Linked DNA regions of Alligator mississippiensis. The protein of the gene in region 3 interacts with the protein of the main gene of each other region in a pairwise test. Links are inferred from orthologs where the notes say so. Each region holds a gene or a part of one and is shown on either strand. Other genes may lie near its edges.

Region 1 (7,325 bases), on a different chromosome or scaffold from region 3:
TTAACAGAAAAGTAAGGGCAGATTTCAGCTGGGAGCAATTTATTGGGTGTTCCGCCATCGTTTTAATCTCTAGCATTTTCATAGCACTTAGCTGCAAAGCATTTTACAAACACTAATGTAATAATTTGTGGTGAAAAGTCACCATTTGCTGGCGGAATTTGCAAAAATGACCTATGACAAAGCCAATATTTGTGAACAAGAATTGGTTGGGTTGGGTCTTGTTGCCCCATTCAGCTTTATCTGTAGTATCCACAGTGGTGTTGCATGCAAACAAAAACCTCTCTCAAGTGGAGTGCCTGCAGTTCTGCTTCCTTTCCCCACCCCGCCCCATGTACTTCTGATCTGTTTAAAAATTGTCCATTTTATACTGAATGAAACTTGCACAGTTGATTTCTGTATTAACAGATTAAAGATTTAGCTTTTAACAGAATTTTGTGTTCCTCTCTGAATCTGTGCAACAAAAGACAAAAAGAGCTTGCTTAGGTTTTGTTTTCTATTGACTTTGTTTGGCTACAGAAACTCCCTCTCTCCCCACCCCCAATCGATGAAGAGCAGCTTTGAGGTTCAGGACCTCCCCTTAAGGTAAGCCGGAGTCCTGTGGTTCAGAGGTAGAACTGAGAATCTGGTTCTGGTGATCGTTTTAGAACATGTTAAAGATGCACTCAGGCAGCATTTCTGTTGGGAGGGTTTGTAGCACCTCCAACAAGAGGACAGCACTGGGCATTAAATCTAAATGAAATGCTTAGTTTAAAAAAAAAATAAAAAAATCCAATGAATAGAGGTGCACCGATACATCGGTCTCATATCAGATCGGCACAGATATAAGGAACATTGACGGCATTGGCAGTCTGTTTTTTTTGGCTGATGTGGCTGATAATGTGGCCAATAAATGCCCTGTGAATGTGCACAGCTGCAGCGCACCACGCAGGCAGCCTGAAGCACAGCCCAGCAGTGGAAAGCAGCCGGGTCTGACTGACAAGTCTGTTGTGGGGGAAGGGGAGAGGGGCGAGGGAAGGGCCATGTGGGGGGTAGACCAAGGCTACGCCAGTGAGGGAGGGAGTGGGGCTGGAGCAGGGGCAGGCGCTGCACAGAGGGGACCTCAGTCCGCCCTTCCCCATAAGACTTACCAGCCAGATGCTGCTCTCCATGCTGTCTGGCTGCATATCGGCAATAAGATTGGTATTGGCCAATACGGCTTGTTAAAAATTGACCACGAGCATCAGCCCAAAAATTCTCTATTGGTGCACTCTACTAATGACAGTTCCATAGTTTTATAGTTGCTAGGGTCAGAAGGGTCCTGAGCAGGTCATCAAGTCCGACCCCCTGCCATGGGCAGGAAAGGATGCTGGGTCAAACGACCCCGGCAAGGTGATTGTCTAGCCTCCTTTTGAAAACCCCCAGGGTAGGAGCAAGCACCACTTCCCTTGGAAGTTGGTTCCAAATCCTAGATGCCCTAACTGTAAAGTAGCGCCTCCTGATGTCTAGCCTGAACCTGTTCTCCGTCAACTTATGGCTGTTATTCCTTGTTACGCCCAGTAGTGCTGGGGGGAACAGGGACTCTCCCATTGCCTGCTGGTCTCCCTTGGCCAGTTTATAGACAGCCACCAGATCCCCTCAGCCTTCTCTTGTAGAGGCTGAACAGGTTCAGGTCTCGTAGCCTCTCCTCATGGGGCCTGCCCTGCTGCCCTCTGATCATGCAAGTGGCCCTCCTCTGGACCCTCTCAATGCTGTCCACATCTCTCCTGAAGTGCTGTGCCCAGAACTGGATGCAGTATTCCAACTGTGGCCTGACCAGTGTCTCATAGAGGGGGAGGACCACCTCCTTGGACCTGCTCGTGATGCATCTGTGGATGCATGACAAGGTGCAGTTAGCCTTCCTGACTGCATCCCCACATTGGCAGCCCATGTTCATCTTGGAGTCTATAATGACTCCAAGATCCTATTCTGCCTCTGCGCCGACAAGAGGGGAGTTCCCCAGCCTGTAGGTATGCTGCTGGTTCTTTCTCCCTAGGTGCAGTACCTTGCACTTGTCAGTGTTGAAACCCATCTTATTCTCATCTGCGCACTGCTGTAACCTGTCCAGATCCAATTGCAGCCTGTCCCTCCCTTCGAGCATGCCCACTTCTCCCCGCATCTTAGTGTCATCTGTGAATTTGAACAAGGTGCTTTTCACCACCTCGTCCAAATTGCTGATAAAAATGTTGAACAGTGCAAGCCTGAGTACCGAGCCCTGGAGGTCCCCACTGCCCACATCCCTACAGGTTGAAAAAGACCTGTCCACCACCACTCTGGGTGCGGCCATCCAGCCAATTGGCGACTCATCTGACTGTGTAAGCACCGATACCACAATCTCCTAATTTTTTAACAAGAATGGGGTGAGAGACCGTGTCGAAGGCCTTCCTAAAGTCCAGAAAGACTATGTCCACCATGACACCTGCGTCCAAGGATTTTTGTGACCTGGTCATAGAAGGCCACCAGGTTGGTCTGACAGGACCTGCCTCTGATGAATCCATGTTGGTTGCCCCTACGCATACACTCCGCTGCTTGCCCCTTGCAGATATGCACCTGGATAATTTTCTCAACAAGCTTCCCCAGGACCGAGGTAAGACTAACAGGCCTATCATTTCCTGGGTCCTCCTTCCTCCTTTTTTGAAAATGGGGACCACATTGGCCCTTTTCCAATCCTCTGGCACCTCGCCAGAGCACCATGAGTGCTCGTAAAGCTGCGCCAGGGGTCCTGCAATGACCTCTGGTAATTTCCTCAGCTCTCTGGGGTGGAAATCGTCAGGACCTGCTGATCTGAACATGTCCAGTCCCTCCAGAAGTTCCCTGACTAGGTCATCTCTGACCCTGGGATTCCGGTGGGGGAGATGACCTGGTCCCTGCTCAGAAAAATGGAGGCAACAAATTGTTAAATAGGTTAGCTTTGTCGTCTGGTGTGATGACCAGATTTCTAAGCGTGTCCTGCAGAGGCCCCATGTTACCCGGAATGTTCATTTTCTTCCCTATGTATTTAAAAAAGGACTTCTTGTTATCTTTGATCCGGGTTGCTAGTCCCAGTTCCATCTCCGCCTTGGCCTTCCTAACAGCCCCCTTACAATCCTGAGCAATGGAGATATAGTCCTCCCTGGTGATGGCCTGTCCCTTCCATTGGGTGTATGCCTCTGGGCCTTTTCCAAGGAAGAGCCCAGACCCCTACAGATTGATCCAAAACAGAAGCAAGAACCAGCTTCAGATGCCTGAGCAAGTGTGCTGAATGCAGGTGGGGGATTGCGTAACTAACCTCCTTCACACGTCTGTGAGGAAAGACATGGGCAAGGAACAAAGAGCTCCGCCCTGCATAAGGCTACTGGGCCTTGACAGCTCTTGCTCTTCCAGCTCGGCTCCTCCACGTGCCAGTGCAACAAGTTTGGCTCCTTGTCTTTTGAAGTAAACACCTGCCTCTCAAGCACTGCCCTGGCAGCTCTGGTGCTGTTTCAAGACTAACACAGCTACAACCTACACCCGTTTCAAGACCACGCTTTCTCTCTGCAAGTCCTTAACATGTCCCAGGATTACTAGGGGTAACACACAGGCAGCCCCTGATGCCCCAGTCTGAAGAAATGCTTCACCCACTGCAGCCAGGAAGGGGGAGGACTGTGGCCCCTTGTCCACCAGCTTCCCTGCAAGCCTCTCCCCCCCGCAGGACTCCAGCCCAGGCTGCTGAATGATTTGCTCAGCTGTTTGGAGTAGCCTTCAATTCTGTATGGGGGGAGGGGCTCCCCGGTGGATGCGGTGACTACAGCAGAGGGAAGCTGTCCGTCCCAGTTATCACCAGCTGCACGGGTGCTAAGAGCCAGCCTAGCCCCCACGGGCGCCTGATCTAATGCGCCCAGGGGCCCGGGCATGCGCAGTACGCCTGAACCACTGATTGGATGCCAGCCCGCCAATCACCTGCCTCAGCCCGCGACCTGCCTCTACATCCGGTTGGGCCCGCAAGGGGTGCTGGGAGTTGTAGTTCAGGGAGGAACTACGTCTCCCGGGAGGCTCGAGGCTGAGCGCCGAGGTGGGAGCAGTTGCTGTGGCAACCGCGCGGGTCCGCCCCGGCTCAGCCTGCTCCCGCCGGGGTGCGCGGCGCGGGCTGCAGCCTCCGCCCGCAGGAGACCGGGGTTTTCTCCCTGCCCCCGCCGCTCCCGGCACCGTTCCCTTCGTCTCGTCCTGGGTCCGCAGTTGGGCCTGACAAGTCATTAAGACACAAAAACCGACCGCGGACCATTCACGTCCCGGCCTCGAGCCTCAGTTGGCAGCACTGACCCAGGGTGAGCTTCCCTTCAGCCTGCTGGATGCAGAAAATCATGGACACTGGATTTATGCCACGTTATAACCTGACTCCGCAGGTACCTCTCCGCAGTTCATCATCCCCCCACTCCTCAGTTTACATCCTCACCGACGGCCTTTCCTGGCGTGCAGACCGGCCGCCGGCCTCTTTACTATTCGTTCCCTCCAGGAAGAGCTTCCTCAGCCTGACGAGGGGTATTTATACCCGCAAGCTTGCAAAGAAGAATTTTTCCAGCGATTTGAGTCGGTCTAATAAGAGATATCAGACTCACCCAAACAGCCGTGTCCGCCTGAAACCGGGATGGTGTTTCTTACCCCTTTCGTGGGGGTATTTGACCGTCTCAATGTCTCTGAAACATTCAGGGGTCGTCCCATCCAACTCGCTGCAAGTGCCAAGCGCTTTTCTTTCTTTTTTTTAAAACCAATCTGCCCTTGCCTCCGTCTAGGTCAGCGCTTCCCAAACTTCACCTCGGCATGACCCCGTTTTCCTCAGCGTGGCCCCTCGTTCCCAGCTCCCCACCCCCGCAACCCCATCCACTGCTGTTGGCACCCCACTGGGGGTCGTGACCCACGGTTTGGGAACCGCTGGTATAGAGAGCGGTGAGATGGAAAACTTGAAAGGTCTTGGGTAGAAAGGGAAGTCGGCTGCGCAGCAATCCTGCTGAATGTGGAGGTTGAAGCAGGAAATCTTGCTCTCTCTTTCCTTAGACCAACCGGGCTTGAATCGATTGGGTCGCGGGATTACGTTGTTAAACCGTATCTGGAGGTGGAGACTGAATGACTGTGAGCAGAAGCCCACGGAAGAAAGGACCCCTGCAAGCCGTGAGATGGTGAGTGTGACATGAAGGGGCAATGGGTAGAAAAGAGTTATGAAAACTAGAAACAGAAACGGGCAGACTTCATTGCTGTGATGCCCTAAGGCAGAGGTTCCCAACCACCGGGCCATGGCACAATACCGAGCCACAAAGGGTTGGCTGTCGGTACGCAGTTTGCTGGTCCACAGTCACTTCCAGTCCACAGTTTGCCAATCCACAGTATAAAAAAGGTTGGGAACCACCGTCCTAAGGCAGCGATGATTGAATGCACCACTAGACTTTTGCAAATCCTGGCTGTCTAGTTAGCACCGAGCAGGGACTGTGCTTGCTACAGTTACTTATGGTAATCTTCAGGAGTATGCGGGACAGATTCCATTATTTCATGCATCATGTCCCAATTGGCCTGGGAAGCTTTCCCATATTGTGTCGGGATTGTACAAGAAAATCTGACTTTCACTTCAGTAAACAACAGGGATCGTGGTGGACGTGTCATACCTGGTATCGTAAGCCACCCTGAGGCTTTCTGGATAGTGCGGGACATGCATCTAAATAATGACAATAACAATAATGTTGCATCTGGGCTGGCTTGCCTAGACTGAGTTATCTAACGTGGTTCTACGATACAGAGAATTAACAGGGCAGTGATTCTGCTGCTCTGATCAGCACTGGTTAGGCCTCCCCTGGAGTACTGTGTCCAGGTTTGGGCCCCACACTTGGAGAACGATGTGGACAAATTGGAAAGAGTTCAGTGGAGGGCAACAAAACTAAGTGATTACAGACCTGGGTAACATGACTTATAAGGAAAGGCTGGAAGAGCCAGGATTATTTAGCTTGAAGAAGAGAAGACTGGGAGGGGGGGTGGCGGAGTTGATAGCAGTCTTCAAAAACTGAAGGATGATTATAAAAAGGATGGGAATAAACTGTTCTCCATGGCTGTAGGGGACAGGACTAGGAGCATGGTGTCAAACTGCAGCAGGAGAAATTTAGTTTGGAGATTAGGAAGAACTTTCTGACTGTGAAAGTGGTCAAGCATTAGAACCGGCTGCCTAGAGAAGCTGTGGAAACTCCATCCCTGGAAATTTTCAAGAGCAAGTTGTGCAGACCCTTGGCTGGGTTGGTTTAGTTGGGGATGATCCTGCCTTGAGCATGGGGTTGAACTAAATGGCTTCTTGAGGCCCCTTCCAGCCCTATGATCATCATGCAGGAAAAGTCCTGTTGGATGTGTCTTGCTTCCGGTGCTTATTATTTTTGTAACAAGCCAAAATTTATTTTTTTCCTTAGGCTACAAAACCGAAGAAAGGCTTAAAAGGTATGAGCCCTCGTCTGCACCTCACTACCCTTAGTCTGCTTGAGAATAGGTGGGTCAAAACTGGGGGTGCTCCTGACAATCATAGAAGTCCAAGGTGGTGAATCCTGGCTAATGATTCACTTCCTTGGTTCAAAGCCATGTCAGACATGCAGAGTGTTAGTATTGCTTGAGTCAAATCATTGCTGAATCAGCATTGAATGTCAGCTACCCCAGTGGTTCCCAGCCTTTTTTATGCTGCAGACCAGCAAACTCACTCAAAGAATACTGGCGAACCGGGTATAGAAACAATCTAATTTACATATTTAAATTTATTTTTTACATGGAGGGAGACAATGGCCAAAAATCATACGTACACATCACTAGCTGGCTAATGTTAGCTACCTAGCTGCAGAGGATACACATAGGAGACAAGCCAGACATTAGTGGTTACAACAGTCTCGCTGATAGGGAAGTGACTAGCCACAGTTACCACGGTCCAATTTCAAAATCTAAAGTCACAGTCATTGGCCAAGCGGAGGATATTTTCGCCCAGCCAGTCATCAGGGCATGGGTGCGGCCTGGGCATAGAACTGTTGCTAGCAGTGGTTAAAGCTCATGCCGTGACCCGGCAGCCAACCCTTCATGGCCTGCTGGTTGGAAACCTCTGAGCTACCCCTCAAATCAGATGGATATGCCTTTTCTTAGGCTCCTGTCACATACTAATTTAAAGTTGTCCTGGGATCTGATCCCCAATCCCAACAACTATATTATGCCACACGTGCATGGCAGGAGGCATGATTCTGGGATTGGGATCAGCTACCAGTTGCACTCTTTCTACATCATTATCCCAGGCTTCTCTGCACTGGCAGATTGAAAGCTGGTCGCCCACAGATTCCAGGCTGCAT
Region 2 (7,850 bases), on a different chromosome or scaffold from region 3:
TACTCTTCTCAGATTATTCTTCCCCCTGTAATAATATGTCTTTCCTTGGTTAAGCATTCAATGCACAAAGGGAAATGTAGTTTATATCCTCTGCTGGGTTCATCCTGCCCTAGTAACATGCAGATAGCTGCAATAAGGCAGTCAAGCAGCTCTCATCAACTCATCTTAGAACAGACACAGCAAGTAGTGCACTGTCCCAAGAATTATGCTACATAGGGAGTCTCATGGCAATTACCATGCATCCACTTCTGACTCACATTCTCTCTCAAACATATAATGAGGTAAATACACAGACAAATTTATGGCATCAGATCATGGCATTGATCTCAAGCCCTGAACTTAAGCAAAACAGATATTTTCTGAATGACAAGGGACAGGTAAGAAATATGGATTTAATGGGAAACAACATAACAGAGCTGCCAACTAATATTTGATTCTCTGTTTTCTACTGTAAAAGGGCTGGACTGAAACTCATGATTAATTAGTGCCTTGTAGTTTCATGTTATATCGGAAACTCAAGATATTGATACCTCTCAGCACAATTTGGCTCCAATGTATTTTACAAAGGGTGGCCCTTCTACCCTTGTGAATAATGTAATGAAATTAAAAAGATCTTCAGTTAAAACTTAAAGAAGACTCAAAACTACTTTAAAAATGCTGTACTGAATGGTACAAAAAACAATTAGGAAAAAGAAAGAAAAGTATCTAACCTTTTCCTTAAGGTTTTCATGTTGTGTTTGCAGTACTTCAAATTGAAATGTGTCTTTAACCAGAATATCTTCTGTGCCATTTCCTACTGAAAAAGAGGAAGTAATACTAATTTCACTCTGAAGTAATATAGGTTATAAAATGTTAATATCACAATATTTTTATATTCATCATCATACATATTAATATTTTAGTCCTGAAGTTCATACTTACAGTTTCCATGGTTACTTTACTAAAACATGCATATAGGCTCACAAGAACACACAGAAATACTGGAAGTTGTAAAATTAAATCAGATTTTGAAATTGTTTCTTTTGCTATTTATACCACAATATACTTTATCAAATACAACAAAAGATGTCTAGAAACAAAAGTGTGTATATACTATCTCACTTTCAGCTGCATGTGTCTGTAATCCAAACACACAATAAGTGTGTGAATAGATTGTGTGAAAGCCTGATTCCACCAGATTTCTAAATTCATGCAGTCATTTCTCTTGGTTTTACTTTTGTTAAAATTTTTTCCCCTGATCTCACCATGAAATACACTATACCCAAATGTTGAACCAAATTCAATAGATATGATCTTTTGGATAGGTAGCCCATATTCCTACCACAGAGAAAAAACTCAGAATACCAAATATTCTCTATGGTCTTCCTCCACCCCATTTAAAATATGAAGTGGATGCAAATTTAGGCTGTAAACCTGCAACTAGATGCATGCACTACCACAGGATCTATTTACAAGACACAAGGATTGAGAAACTACATTAAAAATGCAAGTATGCAATCCAATTAAGGTCATTTTGCCTAGCAACTTCAAACTAGCCTTCTTCAGCTGTAACTAGTCAGTCATTTACCATACAGTTATTCGTTGCACATTTCAATGCTGTTTACTAAGTCCAACAAAAACTATACACACAGAACAAATAAAACATAACCAGGCAGCACAGTTGTCAGGAAGAGGGATGGAGAAAGATGAAGCACAGACCAGCATGCTGCTGCTCAGAGAGATGCCCTAAAACCTGTCATATCTGGGTTGAACAGTCAAGAACACAGATTCTTCTAGTCCTCCCTGAAATACTTTACCTACAGAAAAAAATAAGAGGAATTCAAGGTACTGTACCTACTTTGAAAGGATGAAGGGCTGATTTAACACTTGCACAGCACCCCCAGGCACCCTTGAAATTATCTCAAGACACCTTTGTAGAGAATTACTGGCTTAATTCCTTAGATGGAAGACGTTACATACACAAAGCAGGTACTTATTATAGTAAAGCATTACCATGCCACACACACTTGGCATAATGGCTTCCCTCAAGCTTTTTTCTTTACGTCACAGCATGACTGAACCATACATTTTGTAGTGCTTTCTATCTAGCCGATTGTTTACTTGCAGGCGACAACTCCAAAAATTGTACCATCGAGTTACCCAAACACACACACAAAGAAAGAGAAAGCACCGGAAGAGATTTCCCAACCGATGAAAAACATTTTTCCCTTGTGTCCTGATATTTAAGAACGGCTTCATTGATTTAAATGAAACTGTCAACAGTAACATTTACTACTGAGCTGAAATTAAAGAATGAGACTATTCCACGGCCTATTTCCTTTCAGACACCTTCAGTAGCCCAGCTAGAATGGATTTATCAGCTCTGCCTTATCACCCCACGTCTGGGAACGAAGACGTGGGGTGCCAATTGCCCCGCCACAGGCCCACGTACTGGCTTGCACATACCAAGCCCGGCTTTGGCATTTTGTTCAGCGCTGGAAGCATCGTTCCACGGTCTAACGTTCACAGACTTCTGATGGATGATGTTTAGCATTAAGGACGGCCTGACATCCTGCTCCGGTTTCTTAACGTTTGTACTAGGAAGGGTATTTGAGTCCCGGCCTTGTGACAGTGCCTGGGAGGCAATTATATCAATTTCTTCCAAGTCAGCAGCAGTGAAGTCATCATTATCACCAAAGAGATCTTCTGCCTTCTGGGCCATCCCCACATCAACACTTTTGTAGCGCTTGTTGGGTGGGAAGCCGACCCCGGCGGTAGCCCCCTGCCAGGTGGAAGGTGACGAGAGAACCTGCGTCGGATCCACCCCGTAGAGGAAGGCGCCGCTCCGCTTCTTGTTTCCAGACGAGCGGCTCAAGGCCATGCTGTCCCGGCACCTGCCTGCAGAGCCAACGCTCGGCGCAGCCTGCCACAGACGCGGAGCCGCAGGACAAGGGCCGCTGAGCGTCGGGCAGCGGCCGCGCCGCAGGAGCCCGGCGGGGCCCAGCCTCGCAGACTGGACGGGGCTCAGAGTGCTGGCTCCTGCCAGTCGGGACAGGTAGCCCGGGATGCGTCGTGTGCGCCCTCGGCCAAGTCACGGCCCCTCCGCAGGCAGACGGTCGGGGAGCGCTGCTCCCCTGGAGCAGAACCAGCCACCGCTGCCAGCACTGGAGCAGCTTCCCGACCCGCGCAATACGCGAGACCCGCCAGCCAGCACAGCCAATCGGCGACCATTTCTTCTCGTTGACCAATCAGAGAAGCCCCAGGCAGAATCACTCCGGCCGGGACCTGCAGAGGTCAAACAACAGCAGTCTGGGAAATGTTAGTAATAAAAGTCTTTACGATTGGCAGTTAGAAGCGGCTTTGTGAGGCTGTCCCTGATTGGCAACGGCATCTCATGAAAGGAAGCGAGGCTTCCAGCACTTTTTGGCGCCCTTAAGCGCTGCGCCAGATGGGCCGGGCCGGGCCGGGCCGCGCCGCGCCGCGCCGCTTGTGGTTTAAGCACGGAGCTCTTATACCCCAGCAGCCGCGGCACGGCGGCCTGCCCCTGGCGAAGCCTCCGCTCGCAGCCTCTTTCGTATGAGCTATGGTAGCTTATGTGAGTTGGGCAATGCCGGGCGCTGCCGTGTCGCCTTCTGCAGAGGGGCGGGTGGGCCTCGGCCTCTGCTTCTCTTGTGGGCCCGGGACTGCCAGGTGCACTGGCCGGTGCATACTCGGGACCGGGCAAAGCCTGAGCTGGGGGTGTATGTGCTGAAGCTGGGCTGCATTTAAATCATGAGCAGTGGCCTGAAAAAGAATAAGAATCTGTTTATCAAGCCCCTAGTGCTAGGCTGGGCCAGGAATGAACTGTTTTTTTGTGAGAAGTGTAACAGGAGCAAGGAAGAACCAGCGATGTTTTGCCTTGTGATGATGATGGAGTTGTTTGTAGTCTGCTGGAATCCTCCTGCAATAACAATATGTCTTTGTGACCCTGTTGTTAGCCTCAGCTGCTTTCAAGGGACTTATGCTAGGTTGCAGAAGTGTGGCTAAAGGAGGCCACAAAGCTTCTCTAGGATTGGATGTCTGCAGAGGTTTCAACTGGCATAGTCAGCAAAGTAAAAGAGCACAAGGTGGCAAGTAGTGCTCCCACATGATGAGAGAGAGACCAGAAGTTGTCTCCCAAAACTGCACCTCTTACAGGGACCCAGACCCCAGCTAGTTGGCATCTTCCAAGTCCACACAATAACACCAGCCAGAATATTTAAATGAGCAATGTATACATATTGGGTATAAACAGAAATTTTAGGAAAGACCTCAGCAAGTTCAAGACTGCCTGCTGCAAGCCTGCATGGCACCTTCCTCTTCCTCCCGGCATCTCCCCCCAGTATAGAAGATAAGGCTATTGTGCAGTTGCAGGTAGGTAGATAGGCATAGAGATAATTGCTTACCTTATGCTTTGGGGTGTAATGAATAAAAGGTTGGATTATAGAAGCATCTGTTGTCTCTTGTTCTAACTAGGGTGGTAGTAATACCATACCTGGTAAAAAGGAATGTGAGATAATTGGGAAGTCAGATTGTATCTTGATTTGGTATAAAAAAAGGTAATCTCTAAGGGACTTGTAACTGTTCCTGAATTCTGTGTCTAAGCTTGTAAAGAAGTCCTGATCATAGACGGGCTGTAGTCTCGTCTCTCTCAAACAATCAAACAGTACTGGGTTTTTGATAACAATCTGCTTTCTTCCTTACACCTCCCGGCAGCCTTCAAAGGATTTGGTGGCATCACAAAGTGTCCCAGTCCCCTGTTTGAGAATCACTGCCTTAGCAGGTAACATCACAGCCTAAGCAATATCATGGTGCTGTGACAGCTAATTTAGCAGAGCACATTGGAATGTCCTGCCATTGTGTCCTGATGTTTCAGTACCATGATGTAGTGTCATGATACTGCATTGCCTTGGTACAATACAGTAATGAATGGCAATGTTGCAGTGACACCATAGGTGCCGAGTACATTGGGGCCCAAGGGCCCTGGCCCCCATTGAGAAGAGGGTAGGGTAACCGCCCATCCCTAATTGGGCAGGACAGTCCTGAAATGGGAACATCAAGTCCCAGTCCTCAGCTACATGACTCAGGGGCAGCATTTATCCCAGATTCCCAGTATTGTACAGGGATCTGAGTTTTCATTTCACTGTGGAAAAACATGGAAAACAGCAGGTTTTCCCTTGCAGGCTGGCAGAGTTCCAGCCTGCGGGGGGCTGTGGGGTGAGACTCAAGGGGGTCCACATGCATGTGACCAGGAATACAGCCCCAGGCAACAGTGGAGAGCAGCTTCCCCCAGCTGCCTGCGGGGAAGTCTGTGGGGTGGGAGTGGAACAGACTGAGGCCCCCACAGTGAGGGAGGGGCTGGGCGTAGGGGAACTGCCTGGCCAGGGGTGTTGTCCAGCCAGGGCAATACCTGGGGCCTGGGGCAGGGAGTGAGAGAGCCAGGGGTGGCTCATCACTGGGGAGAAAGGGGTGCTTTCTGCTGCTGATGCACTCCTGAGGAAGGAAGAATGTGGGGGGCACATACCCCCCCAGATTTGTGCATGAGGCAGGGGTGGATGCAGCCTGGCCGCTGCAGCTTTGGGGCTCCCGCCCTACTGCCTTCCCCCCAGGAGCCCCACACTGGCCACACCACTGTGGTGAGGCACCCCCTGCCTGCCCAGCAGCAGCAGCCAAAGTAGTGGCACAGAGTTGTGCCCCCTGGTGCTGATGAGCTGGCAGGGGGCACCTCGTCATGTTGGTGCGGCTGGCATGGAGCTCCTGTGAGGAAGGCAGCAGGGTGGGCAGCTGCAAGCTGACAGTGGGCCGTCCTCATCTGTCCCTGGTCCCCCACAGACTGCTCACCTCTGCTTCAGCCATGCCATTATGGGAGAGGGAGCATCATCTTAAGCCCCTGCCTAGCAAAAATAAAAGTTGGAGCCTAGGAATGTCACAATAGTTAGTATTTTGAGTATTTGTTGACCAGTGTCTTGTGTCAACTCATTTTGTGGTGGGATGCACTTAACAGTATACTTCAGTGGTAAGTGTGCAGTGAAGGGTACACCATTGTTGTTATTGTATAATTTTCTATAAGTATGATTTCACACCATGAATGACACAGTGGTGTAATGGTGGAAATCGGGGCTTGGCTCATTTAGTTGTATGTTAAGTAGGTCAGCAGATGACCTTTATCTGACCCACCCTCAAGAGGCCCTGGAATATGCTGTGGGCACACCCATGTGCCGTTTGTAGAGCCCTGGCGTGCCAGGTGCACTACCCTTATAAAGGGCTTTAATGGACAGAAATGGTGTGAGGTGTGTGTGTGTGTGTGTGTGTGATTGGAGTCTGACTGAGTGTTTTGGACTGAAAGAAGTCAGGGTGCTTGTTGGCAGGAAAGAGAGAGAGAGAGAGAGAGAGAGAGAGAGACACACACGGAGAGGCTGAGTGACGGATCCACTGTGTGAGCCGCGGAGGTTCCTGGGCCCAGTCGCCATGGGAGATCCTTTGTTTGCTACCAGAGCAGAAAGGGTTGGCTCCCCAGGCTCTTCCCTCCAGGTGTGTAAGTAGCAGCCCTCTGCTCTGATCCGTAATCATTACCCTATTCTGTTCTTCTCTTCTGGGTTATTGGGGTTCTTCTTGGTGCGTGTCTGAAGAAGATTAGAAGCCACTGCCTGAGGTGCAGTCATCTCTACCCCAGTGACCGGAGCAGAACTAAATAAAGTTCCCCTGTCCCTTATAATAAAGTTTAGTCCTTTTTATTGTCGTTGTTGTGATAAGATATTGTTGGGTTAGGATTTGTATAGAAGACTAAGTATATTTCTGTGACTAACCTGTTCTTGTTAGTTTTATAATAAACTGTCTTGTTTGTATACTTTTAACAATTCTCTGAGTTATTTATTTAATAAAAGTGGTGATTAGATATGCTTTGGGCAAAGAACTACCCCACCTTTCAGAGGGTTAATTGACAGAGAACCGCTGTTTGGGCAGGGTTAGATAATTGGAGACTAAATTGATAATTAACTCCCAACAGTAGGATGTTTGTCATTAACTGTAATTAATTATTTATATTCCTATTGAACCAGTTATGGACCAGGACCCCATCCTAGGTGCTGTATGAATTGCACCTGTATTATCTTGCATTTCTAGTAATTTCCTCTGCTGCCTTTGCAATTCTCTACAGTGATTTAGAGGCCTATACATGTTAGGCTTTCCATCTCAACAGCCTCTATCAAACATGATTAGTACGTGTGCCCCAAGGTTCTGAGATGGGTATCCCTGTCCATTTGTCACCCCCCAAACCCTCAAGGTACCTGTGGTGACCTCCAAAGTGTCCTTGGGGATGATCCTCATTTGTGCTGTTCTGGGACTCTCTCCTTTCTTTTTCATGTCTTGCAATCTCTGAATTGTCAACCATACACCTTAGCACCCACACCACACCAGCCCTTGGGATTCTCCCTGGATAGTTGAGGGTTGGTTAGAGAGTGTTGGACCATGGTGGTCTCCCAGTTGCTGATGATCCAAACAATCTTCCCTATTTTGCAGTCCTCCACCTCTTTCAAAGACACAACCCTCTTAAGTGATGGCCAAGCACTGTACGCTGCATTGGGAAATAGCCCATCATGCTATGCTCTCCTACTGCTGGAGAAGATAGTGCTGTCTTGACCTTGTCAACTGTAATGGCAATGTGACTTACATGACATGATCACACCCCGGAGAAAGGCAATACTTTTCAGTGCCAGAGCAAAGTTGCATTAGTACATCCTGAAGAAGTTGGAGTACCTCACTGGAAACTAGGTGATGATAAGATGTTAAAATAGACTCCTTCCTGGAGTGACAGTCTGGTGGTGGAAGTGGTGAGGCAGGAGTAGTTGTGCTCC
Region 3 (8,380 bases):
TTTGGGAACTGCAACCAAAACAACCCAGCTCAGACCCAAGTTGGGCCAGTGTTCCATCCTGGCCATCACCACTTCTCCTTGCTTCTTGGTTATGGCACAGGTGTAGCTTCTCGCTGCTGGCACTAGCACTGGCAAAGCCCTCCAACTCTGTGGGCCAGATCCAGTGGCTGTGGCACAGATCCAGCCCGTGGGCTGTGTTGCCAACCTCTGCTCAATAAAATTATTTTCATGTACAGCAAATCAGGTCATACTACATAGAGAACCTACAGTACAGATTAGGTAGTATGCTAGTGTTTTATAATACACCACAGCCTCCCATGAAGAAGTGAGACTCTAGCCTCTTCAATCCACAAAAACCACAATTAGCTTTTCTAGATATGACTCTGTGAAAAAGCACTGCTTTCTTTATCAAGTCTCAGGATGGAGAACATGACTCAAAACTTGTAAAAAAGAGAAAGAAAATGGTGGGGATACCAGACTTGGACTTGGGGGATAAGGGTTCAATTTCAGACTCTCCCACAAACTTTGTGTGTGATCAAATAAGTTTGCTATATCTCACTGCGTATCTGCTTCTTCTTTCTACTACAAAGAGTATTTCCTTTTTCTTATCTTTTCCTGAATTGCCTTTTAAAATAAATTTAAGGTCTTTACAGGAGGGATGAACTCATATGATTTTGCCCAGCACCTATACAATGGATTCTGATCTCAGTTGAAACCGCTAAGCAAGTGGTTCTCAACTGTTTCAGAGCAAAGGGCACCTCTCCATCAATTTTTTGAATATGTTGGCACCCCTGGTTGAGAACCACTATTGGTGCTTCCTCAACTTACCTCAGTATTTCTCAATTGGGTGATGCTGCCTCCAGTTAGAGCTGTCCCATATACATGCTGCAGAGGCAGACCAGGACTGGCTGTGACATGTGCACATGCTCCTCCTCCATTAGGATTCTCTGATATCCCTAAAGCAGACAGAGCTGGCTTAAGCTGTAGCCCTACCTGGTCCAGACCCTCATCCCTCACTTTTCTCCCAGAAAGAGGTGAGCACGTAAAACTGTCCTCTCTGCCTCTGCTTCCACAGCACCCCCAAGAAGATCTCATGGTACCTCAATCGAGAACCACTCCTCTAAGTTCTGTAACAAAAAATGCAACTTGCAAACCTTCTTCCACTGAGTTATTTTCCATTTGGGCACTTAGTTTGTTTTAATCTGCAGTTTATATTCCATTAAAATACTTCAGAATGAGACTGTAACATCAAGTGAGTTGCCTATTAACAACAACAACAACAAAAATTTCACCTTCTATTACAAACTCAAGATGATTGCATTTTCCATTATTACCCATGTTTAAATGGACTCCAAGATTGGCCAAAGTTGTTCTTGATATTTTGGATTCATGGCTAGCAAGCTTAAAGATATTGTCTCACAATACAAAATGTTTACTGTGGAGGAATTTTAAGCAGCCGCTTCTGCGTCCAGAGCCAAAGAACATTCCACACCTAAAACAATGTTCTAGAAAACCAAGGCCTAGAAATACCAGTCTGCTACAAAAATTAAACACACACATTTGCAAAACCAATGCCACACACACAAATAACAAACCACAGTGTTGTTCAACATCACAAAAATGTTACCTAGGGGTGGATCCAGGAATGCACTGGTGCACTTGCACCTCCATTTGATTCCTGCTCTATGCAAAGTTTAAAACCAACTGCCTGATAATGACAGCAGCATTACTAGTCAGGCAGCACTGAGGGAGTCGCTTGACTTCATGGCTTCTTGTCATTTACCTGCTCCCCTCTAAAATTTTCATTCCACAGGTGTTAATGACCTTCTCCTTTTTAATGGTCTTGATCAGCATTTCTCAACCGGTGGATCGCGCCCCAAAAGTGGGTTGCAAGAATATTTGAAAGGGTTGCAAGGAAGTCCCAGAAAAACCCACGAAAGTGCAGGTTTCCCCTTGCAGGCTGGCAGTGTTCCAGCCTGCTAGAGCTGCTTAGGATGTATGGAAACAGCAGGCGCACATGCACCTGCACGCACAGACGCACATGGCCAGCATGCCACAAGGCTAGGTCGTGGGAGCAGCCCCAGCAGCTGGACACAGGTAAGTGTATGAGAAGCGGGAGATGGAAGTCCAGGGGACTGTCCAGAGGGCTGGGGTGTGTGTGTGCACATGTGCATGCGTGTCACACAGGTACTGAGGACAGTGGCCAGAGGCAGGACTGTGGCAGGGCAGGGGGAGCGGCAAGGAAAGGGTGCCTGGCCCTTTAGCAGGAAAAGAAGGCAGGGGTGGTTCTTCACAGAGGGGAGCTGCATGCCTGGGTGGGCAGCACAGGGCCACTGCCTATACACATACTCACTGCTCATGCTCTGGCCCAAACAGGATGGGGGCAGCTGGGAGCCCCAGCAGCAGGGCTGGGAGGTAAAGGACTATGGATTGGGAGTGAAGGACACCAGCATGGCCCGGGGGGGAGGGCGGGGGGGGAGAAGGGTTTGTGGCTTGGGGGTGAGGGGAGCTGGCAGGGAACTTTGGGTCAGGCATCAGCAGGGCCTGGGGGTTGTGGGCGGCTTGGGATAAGACATCGATCTTGGCAAACGGGTCCCAGAACGAATAAGGTTGAGAAGGTTGGTCTTGATCTTACACCAATCAAGCTATCCTTTGTTCTGCTATATGTTCGCTGCTCCTGGTACTGAAATGCCTATTTCACAGCCCTGCAGATGCTTTCTAACTCATTCCAATTAAGTTTGATTTGTTTTTGCTTCCATTTTAAACTGAATAACACAGCCCTAGTCCCCTAGCATATTAGTAACACTTCTAGTTTATTTTTAACTGGAAAAAAACAGATGTTGTTTTATATGTGATGACGCACCTGCCCCTCTGCACCCCGCTTTTCAAAATTTTAGATCTGCCTACAACCATACCCATCTCAGCACACCTTCCCAGCATGTCTAGACCCAGCTCACAGATATAAAAGGCCAGTCTGTGTACCTGTCCTTCCGTCCAACCTTCTTTCATTTGCAGGCCCCAAAAAATGTTGAATGGAGGTAGGGAGTGGGACCCCTTTGAATTATAAGTGTGGGTATTCACACACTTTTAATTGATCACAGTCATCTTTTATGGGCCCCTTAGACATAGTCTGTGGACCCCCAGGAATCCGCAGACTACAGGCTGAAAACCACCAGTCTATAGTGTTGTCATCTACAACAATTTTACATTCATCCTTGAACCAAGAAACCAGGCACTTTAACAGTATGTGTTTCCAGGCCATTTCCTTACTAGCATGCAAGAAAATTGCTGTGCAAGACTTCAACTTAAAGGCCCCTGCTACATGTTATGCAATTAACTGGTTAATTGCACAATAAGTTTAGACCGGCCACACATGCAAAGTGAGACTGGCCACAAGTGCAAAGTAACTGTCACATGATAAAAATGACTATAAAAATGCCAACATAAAGGTAGTGCTTGAGGCCCCTGCTACAGGGTACATATTACGCAATTAACTGGCTAATCTCACAATAGATTTAGCCTGGCCACAAAAGCGAAGCAACTGTCACACGATAAAAATTACTAGCCAGCTCTAAAAAGAGCCAACCTGATATAAAATCTGTACTTGAAAATGCATGACAGCTGGGTTCTATCCAGCTTTCATATGAACATGTAGCAGGGCCTATACTAGCACACAAGGTAGCTGTCGTACAAGACTGACTTATAGGCCCCTGCTATATTACATATATTATGCAATTCATTGGTGAACTATGCAATAAATTTAGACTGGCCACACCTGCAATGTAATTATCACGTGATAAAATGACTAGCCAGCTCTAAAAATCACCAAACAGCTATAAAGTTAGTGCTTGAGGCACCTACTACATGCTGTATGTACTATGCAACTGAGTGGCAAATTGCGCAATAAATGTAGACCGGCCACATGTACAAAGTAACAATCACATGAGAAAAAGGAGGCACCAGCTCTAAAAAGAGCCAACCCCCTCCAAAGTTAGCGCTTAAAAATGTGTGATAACTCTTAGAGCATCTTTACACATGCTCTGGGGCTGGGGGCACTCTAATTAAAGCACCTGCAGCAGCTCATGTATTCAGTATCCTGCACTTCAAAACAGCAGTGGAGGCACTTTAAGTAAAGCTCGTTCAGTGAGCTTTAGTTGAAGTGCCCCCACCTCCATTTTGAAGTATGGGGATGCTGAATTCATGAGACACAAAGGCAGCTGGCGTGCGTTAATTCATACAACTTGAACCAAGTCTGCTCTGACGTGCTGTAACTACAGTGAGTCAGAGCCGTGTCCCCGCACCCCTACAGCCACCCCTGGAGCTGGCTTCTGCCCAGCCCCCATCGCAAGGTGTGGCAGGGCCGAGGACCCCGGCACACACGCAGCCACACCCCTGAGGTGGCCTGACAAAAACAGCGGTGGCCTTAGGGCTGCTGGGGCTCTGGTCAAGTGAGGCATTTGGGGCCCCTTGAAGGCTTAATTTTGTTGACCTATAAGCAAGTCAGACATTTTTTATTTCAATTTCACATAGCCCTATCCACGAAACTGCAATGCAAGTATCTTAATACCTTATTGAGGATACAAATATTCAGTATCGTTCATTTTTATTTTTATAAAGCGTGGGGGCCCTGCGCAGCTGCCCGGTTTGCCCTCCCCTCAGGCCACCACTGATGAAGACCGTCCTGCATTCGAAGGCTCATCAAACTTGATGCCAGCTCCACAGCGGGTCTGCTCAAAGCGATCGCCCTATGAAGCCCTTCCTTCCATTTCGCATCGTTTCTGGACTCTCACGGTCACTGCGCTGCCTGGACGCTGCGTGGCTCTGCACGGCTCTCGCACGACAACAGCGCCCTGGGCGTGCGCAGCCCACCCTCACCTTCCCCCCCTCAAGCGGCTCAACCCCCGCAGGGGCCGGCCCGGCCCGGCACAGCCTGGACCGCTCCTTCCCCCTGCCTCGGCCAGGCGGGTACTGAGCACCCCGGGAGCGGCCCGGGCCGGACGCTGGCAGGGCCCCGCAGCCCCGGCCCCTCGAGAATCCCCACCTCGGCTCCGCCGCGGGGCCGGGGCAACAGACGCGGAGCGACGCCCGAGGCCCTCCCGCCCCGCGAGACAGCGCCCAGCGGAGGCGCCGCCGCCGCACTCACCTCAGCGCGGGGCCCGGCGGGGCGGGGGCGGGGGCGGGGCCGGGCGGGGGCGACGGAGAACAGCAGCCGCCGCTGCGCCGCTCCGAGCCGCGGCCGCCGGGGGGCGGGGCGGGGGCGGACGTGAGCTCACTTCCGGGGCGGGACCAGGCCGGGTCATGGCGGGCGGCGATGGCAGGTGAGAGCTGAGCCGGGCCGGGCGGGGGGTTTGCGCGGGCCTGGAGGAGCCGCTGCCGGGCGGCCCGGGGCTTGTCTGGGGCGGGGGGAGGCCCCTGCTACACGTTACATGTAGTGCGCGGTACAGCCACACGCTGCGTATTGCAGGTTGCGCCATGAACCCTGCACTGCATGTGGACTGGGCACACGTTACATGTGTAGTGCAGTGGACTGGGCACACGTTACATGTTCATGGTGTAATACTGTGTGCTGCACGTAGACCGGTCACACGTTACATGTGTAGTGCAGTGGACTGGTCACACATTACACGTTCATGGTGTAATACTGTGCACTGCACGTAGACCGGTCACATGTTACATGCATCGTGCAATGAACCATGCAGCACACATGGACTGGTCACATGTTACATGTTGCACAATGGCCCATACACTAAATATAGACCGGTCACCCATTACATGTATTGCACAATGAACTGTGCATGACACGTAGACTTGTCATGCGTGATGTGTTGTGCAGTGATCCATGTGCTACATGTAGACCAGCCACACATTACATATATTGTGCAGTACACACAGACTGGCGAAACACTATGTAGTACATGTATTGCACCATGAATCATACGTTACATGAGTAGACCACCCACATTACATGTATGGCACAATGAACTGCACAGTAAATGTCGACTGGCCACATGCTACATGTACCGCAGTTTGCCGTGTGTTACATGTAGACCAGTCACACATTACATGTACCGTGCAAGTATGGGCGACAGGTGTCTCCCAAGTCTGGGGAGGCACCAGATTGCCAATGGCGGGGGAGAGGGGCATTTCTGGTTTCGCAGCTGGCACTTCCAGGGGGTGCACCCCCTACGCGTTGCCAGTGGTGTAATGAATCACGTACTGCACACAGACCAGCCACATGCTATTATTTGTATGCATTGCTCAGTGAACTGCATAATACTCATAGACCGTCTACATGTGAAGTAATTGTCACAGGAGAAAAAAGGGGACTAGCTGGCTCTAAAAAAGTACTAAGTTGCAATAGAGTTACTGCTTGAACATGTGTGTCAGCTCTACAGCTGGTTGCTGCCCAGCTTTTGTGGGAATGTGCGGCAGGACCCCATGTTGGTAGCAAGGGTATGTGCCCACAATTGTTGCTGTTCCTGTAGCAACTACCAATTCCTGCCCCTCGATTTATGGCAGATCTGTGATGGTGAAAAGGGGGGTGAAGAGGGAGAGGTGCATCATTGCATAAAAAACATCACACATTTTTCTCCAGTTAAAAATAAACCAGAAGCTTTATTCATCCACTAGGGGCCTAGGGCTGCATTATTCACTTTAAAATTGAAGCAGAAACAAGTAAACAAGTCAAACTTCATTGGAATGAGTCTACACTAGTGGACCATGAAGACTATTAAAAAGAAGAGAGGGTCATTAACACCTGTGGAATGAAGAGTTTAGAAAGGATCAGGTAGATTATAATGAGTCATGAAGTCAAGTGACTCTCTCAGCTGCCTAACTAAAAATGCTGCTGGCATGGCCAGGAAGTTGGTTTTAAATTTTTGGTAGATCAGGAATCAAAAGGGGCACAAATGCACCAGTGCACATCCCCGTGGATCCGCCCCTGCCCTCTCTGCTATGATTTTCTATATAAAAGAGGGAAACCCCCCTGGTTCTTGTGGCAGTTTCTGGGATTGTGGGGCTTATCTAAGAAATTGAGCATCAGCCCACAAAGCATGTGCTCTCTCTTTATATCTTATCTTGTTTATAGGGTGTATCTCTACCTTGCCTTCTGACTGACTTCAGACCAACACAGCTGACTACCTCTCTCTTAAGTTACTGCCATTCTGCTAAATTCTGTTTCATTTTCTCAGCTGTCACCAAGGGAGAAGCAAAGAAAACATCACATGGACACGTGCAACTATGATCACCAGGTGGAGCAGCACTTCAGTTCCTTGTCACAAGTTTTAAAGCTGCTTTTTCTGTCCTTTTTACATAGCAAAGAGCCCTGCAGTTGTGACTCCCAAAAGACCTGTTTTATCTGTTAGCGCAAGGAAAATTAAGGATAATGCAGCAGATTGGCATAATTTAATGATGAAATGGGAGAGCTTGAATGATAAGGGTTTCACGGCCGCCAACAAAATTGTGAACCTGAAAATTAGCGCACAGTGAGTATGGCACGCAGTGAGTATGGCAAAATATGACCTATGGGCCAGATCTGGCTTGCCAAGGAATTTTATCTGGCCTGCAGTAGGTCACTTGGCCCTGCCTAGCCCAGGAACGGAGGACAGCCCAGCCATGGCACACGCAGCCAGTCCCACTGCTCCCAGGCACAGGGCAGGGGCAGCATGGCAGTCAAACTCTGCTTCTCAGGAGCAGCCCCTTTTGACTGCTGCCACTAGCATCTCCACTGCTGCCAGAGCCAACCCCGCTGCCCAGGCAACTCTGGCCTACCCGCCTTGCAGCCACCACCAGGGGCACGAGGGAGCAGGAGGGCACAGCGTCCATTAAGACTGGCTGGGAGCCCTGTGGGCAAGGTATGCCCCACAAGGAGGGTAGGATGGGACTGCAGGGAGCAGATCATGGCTCTGCCCTAGACCCTGCACTGTCACTGCCTTGGGATCTTGGCCCCTCAACCTGTCCCACTCCTGGACACTGCTCCCTGCCTGTCCAAGTGTGCCCTGCCTACAGGGGTCCTGGCTGATCTTCATGGAGATCCCACCTGCCTGCTCTGTCCAGCACCCACAGTGGTAGGTGCAAGGTGGATATACCCTGGCCAGATAATATCAATTGATGCCGTGTGCCAAGCTAGGCCAGCACTTCCCACCCCCAATCTCCCTCCCCAGCCCAAAATAGTTTATCCAAGTTCCTAAAGTGACCCTCCAGCCAAAATAATTGCCCATCCCTGTTTTAGGGCATAAGGTAACCTATTACTAGTGGGGTTTAGAAAGAAACTTTCACCGTAAACAGATTATTTCATTACTGCCTAATGTAGGCTTCTCACCTCTTCCCGAGTCATCTGGTGCTAATCTGTGTTGGATGGTAGCCTGAAGAAATCACTCAT

What was found.
Region 1: the proteins of CINP (region 3) and FBF1 interact in binary tests that used the Homo sapiens proteins (3 or more experiments, as listed by UniProt). The two-hybrid records come from large-scale screens. The link is inferred for Alligator mississippiensis from reciprocal best matches to the Homo sapiens genes CINP and FBF1.
Region 2: the proteins of CINP (region 3) and ATRIP interact in binary tests that used the Homo sapiens proteins (3 or more experiments, as listed by UniProt). The link is inferred for Alligator mississippiensis from reciprocal best matches to the Homo sapiens genes CINP and ATRIP.

What each region holds. Positions count from the first base shown.
Region 1 is NC_081831.1:13,306,660-13,313,984, reverse strand, and holds the start of FBF1 (fas-binding factor 1), read left to right. Parts: upstream 1-4,057; 5' UTR 4,058-4,298; exon of another isoform or gene 4,299-4,376; intron 4,377-5,025; 5' UTR 5,026-5,144; coding exon 5,145-5,147; intron 5,148-6,413; coding exon 6,414-6,441; intron 6,442-7,325. UniProt on the Homo sapiens protein: Keratin-binding protein required for epithelial cell polarization. Involved in apical junction complex (AJC) assembly via its interaction with PARD3. Required for ciliogenesis.
Region 2 is NC_081835.1:37,258,087-37,265,936, reverse strand, and holds the start of ATRIP (ATR-interacting protein), read right to left. Parts: upstream 3,269-7,850; 5' UTR 2,861-3,268; coding exon 2,446-2,860; intron 797-2,445; coding exon 711-796; intron 1-710. UniProt on the Homo sapiens protein: Required for checkpoint signaling after DNA damage. Required for ATR expression, possibly by stabilizing the protein.
Region 3 is NC_081825.1:285,087,584-285,095,963, reverse strand, and holds the start of CINP (cyclin-dependent kinase 2-interacting protein), read left to right. Parts: upstream 1-5,249; 5' UTR 5,250-5,311; coding exon 5,312-5,318; intron 5,319-7,315; coding exon 7,316-7,484; intron 7,485-8,380. UniProt on the Homo sapiens protein: Component of the DNA replication complex, which interacts with two kinases, CDK2 and CDC7, thereby providing a functional and physical link between CDK2 and CDC7 during firing of the origins of replication.